Linked DNA regions of Drosophila melanogaster. The protein of the gene in region 1 interacts with the protein of each later gene in a pairwise test. Each region holds a gene or a part of one and is shown in the gene's direction. Other genes may lie near its edges.

The links.
Region 2: the proteins of Oatp74D (region 1) and cmb interact in a two-hybrid assay, tested with the Drosophila melanogaster proteins (one large-scale study listed by BioGRID).

What each region holds. Positions count from the first base shown.
Region 1 is NT_037436.4:17,485,244-17,490,340, forward strand, and holds the start of Oatp74D (organic anion transporting polypeptide 74D), read left to right. Parts: upstream 1-1,874; 5' UTR 1,875-1,946; exon of another isoform or gene 1,947-1,957; intron 1,958-2,390; exon of another isoform or gene 2,391-2,821; 5' UTR 2,822-3,089; intron 3,090-5,097. UniProt on the Drosophila melanogaster protein: Transporter that mediates the cellular uptake of ecdysteroids, including ecdysone, from the hemolymph.
Region 2 is NT_037436.4:13,441,064-13,448,871, forward strand, and holds the start of cmb (combover), read left to right. Parts: upstream 1-1,530; 5' UTR 1,531-1,655; coding exon 1,656-1,925; intron 1,926-2,055; exon of another isoform or gene 2,056-2,236; coding exon 2,237-2,393; intron 2,394-2,625; coding exon 2,626-3,023; intron 3,024-3,149; coding exon 3,150-3,242; intron 3,243-3,304; coding exon 3,305-4,835; intron 4,836-4,945; coding exon of another isoform or gene 4,946-4,948; coding exon 4,949-5,217; intron 5,218-5,278; coding exon 5,279-5,820; coding exon of another isoform or gene 5,821-5,824; exon of another isoform or gene 5,825-5,898; intron 5,899-6,210; coding exon 6,211-7,321; intron 7,322-7,379; coding exon 7,380-7,808. Other genes in the region: CG14109 (uncharacterized protein), read left to right, coding at 163-216, 564-1,241.

The sequences.
Region 1 (5,097 bases):
CATTTCCCCATCCAATTCCCCTTTCAGTAGTAAAATATCAAGCTCATTAAAAATTAACAACAATTAGGGAAATCGCTTAAAGAAATAAGAATTAGTAAAAGTAATTGTATGGCAAGCTTTTGCTTTTTCTACTTTTTATTTTATTAGCAATAAAAATACCTAATATTTATAGGAATATATGTAATATACAAGTTCGTCATAAGGAAGCCCCACTGCACATACATACCACACCACATTGTGTGCAACACATATAAATGTGAATGTTTATTCCATCTGACAACGGTTAGCGATAAGCCCAGCGATGTAGTCAATACAACAAACAATAAGGAACACTTTTGGAGTTTCGTTGTCGACTTTGTCATTATTTGCTTGCCGTTTGTTTACAAGCTGAAACATTGACACACACACATCAGCTGCATCAGCTGCTCGTGCCCCATCCCACCCACCAACAAGCCCACTCAGAATGCGTAACCCCCTTCAATGTGGAAGCTCCAACACCCATGGGTTCATCTGCGGGTTATCAGCAGCGGATTGCAACTAGAATTGGTTACAAAAAAAGCGAGCCACCGAAAAGGGAAAACAACATTCATCCGGCGGCGGCGAGAAAAGCAACCGCAAAAGTTCAATGCACATTTCGAGGTGAATTTGTTTTTGAGCTCTCGCTCGTCTCGGCCTGCAATTAATTACACAAATCGAACGAGCGTGTTTAACTTGTTTTCGCGTCTAACATGTCACGTAATTAGCCGTCTAGCTGCGAATCGAGCCGATATCGATGGGAGTTTGCCAAAAGAGTAGCCAATAGATACGGCTGCGCCATCGCCTGCGTTGCACTCAATTTGCTTGATTATTGCGCACAGACTTTGCATGAGTACGCGTATCTGACAGTTTGCCTATCTATCTGGCCGCTTGGCAGACGACCTTGCGCCGAATATGCAATTGATACGTACTTTGCACATATGAATATTAATAGGCGACCAGAGAGTTACTCGAGGAATTTCGCAAACTGAATTCCATTAGCCTCCAAGACTGTAGACTATATTGTAAAGTCAGTTGCACCGACAGACAGCAGATGCATAACCTAAGAGATAACCCTTAATCGCAAAAATCACTTGGTAAACACACAAAGCAACTTATAGAAACTATTTAGCACGTTTTGCAAAAAGTATTCCTTTTTAGTACTTCGCTGGAACTAACTAAAATGTAACGAGCATTAATGTAACGAACATTAAACCACCAAAATTCCTCATCATAAACACTTTTCTTTGAAATGCAAAACTTTCAGGCTTTAAGCTGTTCCTCATGCCTTAGTGAAAATAATGTATAGCTCATAATAAGAAATTAATCAATCGAATCATAGACTTAGAATATCCATCACTTCTCTTCACTTTTTTATATTACCCACCCCACCCAGACGAAAAATCTTGGTTGAGTCATTTGCAGAAAATGTATTTTATTGTACATATGCAACAATAAATATTGTGTACTACATGTGATTCGTAAGTTAAAAAACACTAAGCCAAGCTAAGAGAAAGTCAAACTTGTCGAATTTCAATCAAAATAAAGGTCTTTCTATGAAAGAATTGGTACTTCTATCAAAACCACTTCAATTATTCCCTTATAAACGTAATGTATTCTAATATTCCGGTATGCTGAAAGTTTAACCCAGGTCGATCTGTCTGATCTCCAAAATCCCCTTTCCAATTTGATAAAAGAGCGCACGCCACTGATAACAAACAGAGAGAGCAGCCGAACTAACAGAGCCCTAACAGCGTGGGGGCCTAACAGAGCCCCAACAGCTCCAAACAGCTGCGCTGCCGACGTCGACGTCGGCGCAGGCGAAAAGTTTTGGCTGTTTTCAGTTCGCCAGACCGTTTTGCGTATTCGTATTCGAATTGTTACCGTGTGCGGACTGTGCCGACGGGCAGCGGAACTCAGGCGGTGCAACTGTATGTGTGCGGTGCGTGAGAGTGTGTGTGTGTGAGTGCGAGTGGGGGGCGAGAGAGATAATATGTACATTCGGTGTATATATACACATGTGTATACGTATTATTTCTATACGCCGCGATCAGACAACAACAACAACACCAACAACAATGTGGGTCGTGCATATTGAACATATGCAAATAAAACAAAAACAGATAAATGCCAAAAATCTACTACACTTTTATAACCAAAACACACAGAGCGCGCAGAGAGAGCGGCAATAACGATAACAGCGGAGACAGACCACCCCCACAGCGAAGAGAGAGCGTAAGAGAGTGACGGTTAGAAGTATCTTTGAGATACACTAACACAAAGAGAACGCGTATCTGTATCTGCATCTGTAAATGTATCTTCTGGTCTGTGTTTTTCGACTCCTCGTATAAATTGAGCCGCACTTTGGTTATTCTCGAGTTTTTGCTGCTCAGACGTCGCTGTAAGTGCACGCGTCGCTCGACTTTTCGGTTCCGCTCCGCTCCGAATCGGTTTCGTTTTCGGTTCCCAATACCTCCAATATTCCCTGAAAGATACCTGTGTCCAAGAACCCAGTTGAATCCACACATTTTCGTCGTGCAAGTCACAGAAAAAAATTATTAAATTTCTAAACGCTCAATACAAATATTTTCGCACACTATAAAAATATTAAAAAAAAAAAAACTGGTTGACAAATTTGTCTGATCAAAAACCTAAAGAAACTTGTACGAAAACGAATAAAACTAATAACATATTAAATAATCTCGTTTTTGAAGTTCATTAAAACCACACTTAATCAATAAATACATCATTGTTAAGATCCTCAGACCATTTTAACAAAAAATTAAAGTGCCAATTCCATTTTCAGTGAGTGCTTGATAAATTTGTTGTATTGAAACCCAACCGCAAATACAATTTTCAATTGGCTGAGTGCGTGTCTTCAACGCACAAACATACGAATATAGCATTTAATATTGTTCATTATGTGTGCAATTAAATAAAAAAAATTGTGTGTGAAATAACAGAAAAACGAGTGCGGCGAACAGAGGCAGCAACAAATTAAACGCGTAAATTGCGTAGCAAATTCTGAATGAAAAAATTCAACAAAACCAGAAAGCGAAACAGGAGCGATAAGCGTAAGTACAGCTTTAATAAATAAATTGTATATGTTCATAAAATGACAACTTTTTGTGACAACTTAAGAACTTAGAGTTGGATGGCAATTTAGGTTTGTCAATAATAGAGTATAAGAGTATAAGAGCTTTGCTTAAGTGAATATTACTTAGAACCCCAATTAACAATTACTTCAACTTGCATATATATAGAATTTGTTTATTTGAAAATGTGTATTTCCCAAAAACAATTTTTGTATAATGCATTTAAGTCTTGTGGCGAAATAAAATTTCAAAGAGAACGATCAGTGCCAAACAAACATGCAGAACCAGAAATAAGCTCAAAATTCATGGAATAACCTGATTTGGTTTCTTTTCATTTAATTGGGCTAAAGAAATTTCCCTTTTCAATGCTTGCCCACAAGAGAAATGGAAAGAACGAAGCATTCTCTGATTGATGTGGGGAAAACAAAAACAGAAACCCCGAAAAGATATTTCGAAACAAAATAGAGAGGGGCAGACGATGTCTAAGCATTTATCTTTTGGTTCTTCGACGCGGTTCTTGTTATTTTTCTGTTTTCGAAGGGGGGGACTATTCGGGCGCCAGAGAAAGTGAAACATGTAATTTTTTGTTGGAAGGCCTACAAAAATCATACGCCGTATTGAGTGAAATCGTAATGGGCTAAGAAATTTCTTAAATACGAAGGTTAAAAGGGGGCAGAGCAATCAGAAAGCGCACAATACACACTCGGAAATAATGATAAGACGCGCGACGGAGAAGAGACCGGCCAAAGAATACGAAACACACTCCATTTCTCTGTCTTTTCTGCCTGCTTTACTCGGTTCCCGGGTAATTACATACATGCCGTAAAACCAAAATAAATACGCACAGATAAAGATGCACAGATGCAGATACAGATACCGGGTTGGGATGGGTTGGGTTCGGATGGGCTTTTTTCCCGCATTCTTTTTGTGTCCTCGCAAAACGAAAGCCGAATATCGGCGAAATGCATTAAGGCCGAACAAAAGCAAAAACGAAAACAGTCAATAAACGCTGTTTAATCAAATGTAAATGTTTATACCGCACCGCAACTATCGACTCAGAATTACCGACTTTCAGAGCGTCAGAGTTTCACTTTTGTACCTCAATCATATGAGTGTTTGTTCTGGCCAGAAACCAGCAAGAAACACTCTTTTCCGTCTGACCCACATCGGGTTCGTTATCACCGATTTTTATTATCCATTTATATATATTTGCTTGATCGCATTGAATACGTACACATTTACAGAGCCGTTTATTTTTTGGATTTCAAAATTAAACACTTAAAACGACGTTAACACACAGCAGGAAACGCATCTGAAAGTGACAGAGAAATCACTTTATTCTTTCTCGAATTGAAGTTATTTTTTTCGCAGCAAAATTAAAAATTCATGAAGTTACATTATTTTGCTCAGGTTCATAGAGAAAGTCAAATGAGTGCTACAATTTGAAATAAATTAATTCACTTCATTGTGGCTTCTTCCATTTCATTTTTGACTTCTATGTTTGGTTTACCTAAAAAATATGTTTAATTAATAGGTTTGTATATAAAATATACTACAATAATACGTATATAGTGCAACAGCTAAACTTAAAGCTAATGATTGTGTAAACATTAGATTAACAGAAATTTTCATTTAAATGGTTAAAATACCCATTTATGGTGTTTCCCATAACCAAAGTTTCGGAGCTAACTTTGTCTACCTCGCCATTCCCATATTTTTCCATTGTTTCCTTTTAACTTCATCGCCTCCGCCGACCAATAAATGATCAATGGCCCAAAGCATTTCGATTTCAGCCAAACTCATTTAATTTGTTTTTTGATTCCGCTCTTTTTTTCGCCATGCGCCCCAAGTCCAGAAAAATAAAGAAAGATACAAACAAAAACTGGGAAAGAACTACAAAATTCACCTGTAATAACGTCGCAGAAAATGAAGAAATCGGTTGAGAAGCGGCAGACAAAAACACGAATCGAGTAGAAGTGAGAAGACG
Region 2 (7,808 bases), 4.0 Mb from region 1:
CCAAGATGACTGACACTATTCTAACTGAAAAATAATTTAACAAAGAGCCATTTATTTATAGACAGTGCCTTGCGATGGGCCTTTGTTTGTATTGAGAAAATAATCAACGTGCACGATATACATAACACCAAGTATTCCCTCTTCTCCTCAGGAACCCAGAAAATGGTCAACGAACTGAATAGGCCTCAAAATGGGGACAATGCCGCCTTGAGCGAGGTAAGCTGGAGTCTTCGGGAAATTGCAAAACTCTTAGTATTTAAGTGTTTTAAAACAATAAGAAAACACAGTCAGTAAAGTTAAATAAATACCGTGACACATTCTTTTTAGACAACAAAATGAATGAGTCACACCAATAAGCCTACAGTCTCTAGATGTTTCAGTTGAAATGAAATTTAAGTACGAAGCTTTTTCTATACCAGTGAGCTAAAAAATAGAGTTTTTTAATAATAATATACAAAATCATTTTTCTTTTGATGCCCTAATGTAGTCTTTGAACTATGATGTTTTTAAACCAATTTTTTCATTATTGAAGCTTTCAAAACTAATTATTTGTATTTTTTAAGCGCCTAGCTGCTTCCAACAGACAGCTGCAAGAGATGCAGGAGGAGCACCGCCAGTTGCTTGAGGAGATGGAGACACTGCGCTTACGAGCCGCTGAGCTGACCCTTCTGAATGCCCAGCGCCGACAAGTGCGGCAGTCCACCGAGGAGGAGGAGGTTCAGTCCCACGTTGAATCCTCATCGGAGACAGTAACAGTTGCTTCATCCGCCAGTGCTTCTGGAGAGTTCACAAACCGGGAAGAGGCACCATCTGGTGAGGAAGAGGGCGGGGAGGACAAAGAGGAGCAGGCCAGTTATCTGCAGGAGAAGCTAAACGAGATCGCCAACCTGAAGGCGCAGTTTAAGCGCGTGCAGAACATGGTGGACACCACCAAGATGATCGAGGAGCACATGTCCTCCAGGCAAACGGTACAGGTCCAGAGCTCCACCTCCGTTCAGACCAGCAGGCAGACCACCTCGTCAGAAGTCCGAGTGGCCAGCGAGGCCGTAGAGAGTGCCCAAGAAGAGAATCCATCGACCTCGTCGAGTGCTCCCGATAACGCCGAGCTCCTGAATTCCATGCTTAACATGTTCACGGACTTCACCAGTGATCTACGCGGTCAAGCGGTGGGACTCCGGGCGGAGAGGGATCGGATTCGTGCGCTCAAGGAGGACATCATCCAGCGCAAGCAGGGAAAGTAGGCACGTCCAAACTTGAAAGGGAAAATGGCTCTAGTCATATAATGTTTATTATCCAAGGAACATATTATAAAGTAATCTCCAAATAAATAATTATCCTTAAAAGATATCAAATTACCAAGTAACGTTAGTTTATCTACACCAAAAGCATTTAAAATACTTTTTACAGATATACATTTTATTTTAAACTAAAAATAATATTTATTTTTGAATTTTAGAAAACATTCGATTTCAAAAAACGTCCGCTGCCAGTGTGACCATAACTTGGTAGGCTTGTTAACTAGCTTCCAGCCCTGGTTGGGAACAGCTGTCAGAGTGCGCAAAGCAAAAAAACAAAGTGGGAGTACAAAAAAGAGGAGTTTTTTCAATTTTGTAGCGTCGTTTTTTGTACGCAAATATATATATATATATTTTCTAATGGCGCCGCCGCCCAAGGTAGTTGTGGACCAAGCCAACGCCAGCGCCCGCAGCAATGGCAGCAGCAACAACAACTCGGTGGGCGGGGCAACCGGTGCGGTGCCTAAACAACAAACGCCTGTAAACGGAGCACCCACGTCCGGGTCGAGTGCATCTGTGACATCCAGCCGGTCGGCCCGCTCTCGCCGGCAGCAGGAGCACCTGGGCGAACCGGACATGGAACTTGTCGAGCCAGAGACGCTGCAGCGGGAGACGCTGAAAACTCTGAATGTAAGTTAGACGGACGTCTGGTTGCCATGGCAAATCTTCTCGAAGAGAAGACACCAAGACCTTTCTCTTCTTGGTTTTATAAATACACTTTACACTCATCGCGACCTGCGGAAATTCGTTAGCCGCTGGCTCAGTAGCGAATGCGAACTCAACCACTGCGGACAACGAATTTCGATCGGCCAGAGCAGCGCCCTTATACATATATATATATATATCTGAAATAGATATATATATATAGACCTAAAATCAGCAAAATTACCGCAATCCTCGTGCTGGTTTTCCTGCTAATCTTCATTTACTGTTGCTTAAAGGATCTCCTCCAGCGAGCACGCATCACCAACGCCAAGAATCGATCGCCGGCGGAGCAGCATCTGTCTAGCAAGGATCACAGGTCGCCTGCACAACAGCAACAGCAGCGCGAGGCACTGCGTCAGTTGGCCGCCGAACACGGCAACTACGATACAGCAGGTAATGGGTCCTGAAACCGTTGAGGAATATACACATTTAATTGAGCAATTTCCAATATCCGCACCTGGCAAAGTGATCGGCCTGGCCCACACAGAGATCGGTGCGCCAGTTCATGTTCTATAAATAAGATGCGCACGAAAATAAACGCCCACTGAGATGATGTAGTTCGCAGCGCAGTATTTAGCAATGGACCTAAACATCCATACTGATCTTTGGCTATTTTCCATTACAGAGCAACTGCAGGAACAGCAGCAGCGCTATCGATTCCCCGTCCGTCCTGTCCAGAGGGTTCAGCACCAGCCATCCTCGTCAGCTAATAGCACAGGCGCCCCCTCATCTTCGACGGCTTTGCTGCGTTTGCGTCAATCGACGCCTCCGAATGCCACAGTAGGTGTGGTCATACCGAACGCAACTACCAGCAACGGAAACGGCAATTTGAGTGGCAACGAGGAGCAGGCACCGCCACTGACCCCCGCTGGACTGCAACAACTCGTTCACCGACTTCTTGGTGTACACCATTTTGCTCCCAGAACCGAAGGTTTTCGCTCGCAGGTTGACGTGTTACGCGCCCTGCTAGGATTAGACGAGAACCTGAATAGCAGATATCAACCGAGTAGGAAAGTTGTAGAGGTGAGTTTGAAAGCTTGTGTCAGGAACTTCAAGTGAGCCGTACATTTATAACATTTATAAGATTGATAATAACATTTTTTATATCGTAATAATAAATGAAACTAAATCCTTTAATTCTTGCCCCAGACGAACAACATGGTGCACGAAATCAACCCAAATTCGGATCAGGGTGAAGGCGTAGTCAATTCGACCAGCTTGGAGGATGTTGCATTAAGCGAGGTTAGTTGGTTAATAAAACCAAAAGTCTGCCTTCTAGTACTCAAACCATTTGTACCTTTCAGATGAGCGACAACCGCGCCCAATCCATTCAGTCCCTACACAGCGTCTTGGAAACGCCCACGCCCGATACCACGCCCAGCTTCGATGAGTTGCAGCAGCGCTTGGAAGCCTCCAATAGGAACATGCAGCACCTGCACGACGAACAGGCGAAGCTGTTACAAATCCAAAATTTGGCCAAGACTCACCTTAACGAGATGGAGCGGCTGCGCCAGCAAGCCGATAGCTTACCCCACAATGTCAATGGGGGAGAGGCCCCCAAATACGAGTCCGTGCAGCAGGTACAGGACGACATGGCGTCGCTGGTGGGGCGCATGAAGAATCTCACCGCCTTTATACACAACCAGAACGAACTGAGCACGGTGCTTGGCGATGATGGGCCCGAGATCCTGGCCGAGCAGGAAGCCCTGCAGGAGAAACTGGAATCACTGCGCACCCAACGTGAGGATATGCGCAATCTGGTGGACGAACTAAACAGCATCAACCGTGCGGCCAGGGAGACTGCTAGAGTCATCAAAGAGAAAGAGGAGACTCCCACGCCTCCTCCCAAGCCAGAGGAGGCTGCCCCAGCGGCTCCCAAGGAGCGTGTTGTTCCTGTGGAGTATCAGAGAAACGTACCCATCATACGCCAGGAGGCGGCCAACGCTGCTCAACGGGCACTTCACGCACAGGCAATGATCAACCAGAAGACGGCAGATATAGAAGCACTCAAGGCTCAGATGGCGAGACTAAAGGGAATGCTGTACACTGTTAGCCAGATTGAAGAAAGTACTCCCAGCATGGGCTCCACCTTAGAGCGGCGTAGTGAGGAAAGAACTAGCGTGGAGCGCGAATTGCCGGCCGAGATTGCCCAGCGCGTATTCGCTCTGAACGATGTTACGAGCGAACTGAGAGCGGAAGCAGCAAGCTTGCAAAAGGAGCGTGACCGTATCCTAGCCCTGAAGGCAGAGATTGAGCGACGCAAACAACAGGCGGCCGCCGCTGTTCAAATGGGCGATGATGCACTTAAAAGAAGCAGTCTTACCCCAACACCCACCCCCATGAGACAGCGGATGACCGAGGAAGAGGATCCATCCGAAGTGGATAATTCTCTTCAGGCTACGCCCACCAAGGAACAACTGCGCGATGAACTGCGCTCGCAGTGCGAGCGCCTGCGAACGGAATACGAGCAGAAGCAGCGGGAACTGGAGCAGCGTTACGTAGCCAGTAACAACACCACATCGGAGGCGGATGACGAGGCAAACGACGACACTGACAGCGATAAGTACTTCGCCAACGTACGTACCGCTTCCTCAGCGACCCTAAAGAGGGCTCCATCCGCCAACACAGTGGTGGAGCAACGACGAGGTCAGCAACCTAACGTTCCCCCACAGCAGGCACCACCACCACCGCCGCCTGCTCCTCCGTCGACGCTAAACGAAGATGACCTGAATGTGACACTTGATACGCTATCCCTGGGTAATGACAGCATACCATCCAGCAGCAATAGATCGCAGTACATGCCGCCCCCCATGCAACCAGTGCCTGGAATGTGGGGTACGTTTTTAATTCCACCAACAAAGGCGGAAATTTACCAACTTTACTTTACCAACTTGAATTCATGTATTAGTTTCCTCGTTTTACGCTTATTTTTATGCATCCGCTAGCAGCATCACACAACTCTGGAAGTTCGTGGCATGGACAGCAGCCCGTCTACGGTCAGCCGAGCTCCAGTGCCGGCACAGAGTTTAAAAAGCTGCCAGCCGCCCAACAAGGGGGCTCCTCAAATGGATCCGGATCGAATGCCTCTACCGACGCAGTTCTGCTGCAGCAGTTCATGCAGACGCAGCAAATGCTTATCAACTCTGTGTGCCAGTGCAACCAGGCACTGTGGCATCAACAGCGCGAAATCGACAACCTCAACCACCAGCTACATGCGGTAAGACAATCCATGAGATTAGAGAGCCTAATCAAAGACTAATTCAAGTGTTTTTTCACAGCTCCAGGATCGATTTAATGTTGTAGCATGCCAGGATCACAGCTTCGGCTTGCGCTCGGAATCAGTACCGCCTCCGGTGGGCCCTGGAATGGGTCAGATGCCCAACAATCTGTGCCTGGGCAGCAGTCGAGCTCAATCTGAGCAGCTATTTAACTTTGGTGCCCACCAGAGCGCCTTTAGTAACTATCAGCGCAGCTGTCATCGTAGCGGGGCAGAATCGCATCATCATCAACAGCAGCAGCATCAGGCGCAGCCGTTCCTTAACAATGCTGCTCCCCCGCCACCGCCGACGCACTTCAACAACGAGACACCCCTGTCGCCGCCTACTTACCGCTCAAGTCCAGGTCCCATCTTCATGAACCACCATAACAACACGATACATCAGAACAACTCGAATCTGCGAACCCAGAACCAGCATGCCAACAATCTGCACTCGCTGCCCGAGGGAGCAGCTGGTGGAGGAGCACCTGGTGGCGGTATTACATTGAACAATCAAGTACCACCCGGAAACAGAGCCAACAACTACTGGGACAACTTCCGCAGGTAATGCTTTATAACTTTGGTGTTGGATTTATTAATGGTTGTTTGATGGAAAAGGGTCAAAAGCAATAAAAATTAAATAAAACTATTGTGAAGAGTTAATTTTCAATTCTGTGCACCGGTAAGTGCGACCACGCGTTGCAGATAAGTGTCCCATTAACAGAGTTGAAAGTGACTAACCAAGACTAACTCCAAGTACTGACCAAGTTTTGCAAGTGCCTATTCGGCAGTAAACAAAGCTAATTTATAAAAGATGTGTATTCAATTTAAAAAGGATATATGGAATAGAAAAACTTAACTTAGTAACGCTCACTAGATTTAGCTAGTTTATCAACTGCATGATTCTTTGCTACCCGCTTGCATTAACCCATTAATATCTGTACGCTCTTCCAGCCATTCGCGCCAAAATCTCTTATCAAATAAAAGCAACGAGGAGCTGAACGTGGACCTCCAGCAGTATCGGCGACAACGGGCACGTCCCAGCTACTTTCAGCCGCCCCAGTTGCTTCCGCCTACTACGCGTGGTGGTTTGACCCACCAGCAGCAGCGTCGTCACTTTTTCGAGGCGCCACTAACCGCTTTGCATGGCAGCAGCTCCAATGGCAGCAATAATCTCAACAACAGCGGCAGTTCGGGCAGAAAAAGGGACTGGCGCGATGATGCAGGCCACATTCGCGACCACGACGATGAGGATGTGGACGAGGTGGAGGAGAACCATGATAACGTCATATTCGGCTCGGGTCGACGTCGCAATCGTCGCCGTCCTCAGCTTTCCACGCTGCGGGATGATGAGTCCGAGCAGGCTAGCTCCTCCAATCTCAACATGAACGTAAACTATGGCAACAGTCCGCTGTATCAGCGGAACAAGGTACCAGCAAAGCCCACCACTTCGACTGTGTCGCTTACTCCTCTGCAGCAGCGACATCTTCGTTTCGACTTCGAACTTCCAGCTCACTACATGGACTACATCGAGCTACCCCAGATTACTCCAGTGGACACTACTCCTACGCTCGGACAAGAAGCATCGCCCGCGGACGAATCAAATGCCATGGAGCAAACCGAGGAAACGGCCTCCGAGGAACTGAATCGAAATCTGCTGGTTAACGCTCTGAAGAACGACAAGTTCACCACAAAGTTTTATGAATCAATCAAGGAGGATGTCTACCGCCGGCTGGAGACACTCTTCGAGCAGCAGCAGCAGCAGCAGCAACAACAACAGCAACAAAATCAGCAGCTGCAGCACTCACATGAACCACACGGCTTGCGAAAGGCTCTTAACCAGGAGGAGAACGAACCTACTGGCGACGCCGAGGCCACCGAGAGTCGCAGTGAAACCCCGCTAGAGGTAATGCGTCTGCAGCTAGACAACGATCGGCCCGAGGACGAAAAAGGAACGCCAGTGAAGCAGCTAAGTTTGTCCAATCCACAGAACGGGCAGCACCTGGATGAAATGGAGGACAGTGCTTCTGCTGTTATCTCTTCTCTTAGGACCGAGAACGAAGAGGTAAGAAAGGCTTTCGTAAACTGGATCGATTAACTCATAATTGCGTCTTCCTTACCAGCAAATCCTCGAGGGAAAACTAGAACAAGCCTCTGGCTCGGGATCAGGACCAGGGACCAGCATAGAACTGGCACCGGATCACGAACTAATCGAGTACATTATCAAACGCATTCGCAATCAGACGCACAACAACACCGTCATCAATGACTCCCTACTGGCAGAGGTATCAAAGCTGACGGCCACTGCTGCCCAGAATTCGACCGCCAGCTCGCCACTAATTTCGCCCAAACGCATATATGCCAAGATCAAGAAGATGGACATACCACGACAGCGGGACGAGTTCCTGCTTTGGTACCGTTCTTATTTGGAGCAGCTGTTTGTGGTGGAACAGCCGCAGGATAGCTGCAAGACCAAGTCGAAGGTGACACCTTCTGGAGCCAGTCCGGCCAAGCTGAAGAACCAGCGTGTGCGCAAACAGTCCCAATCCCAG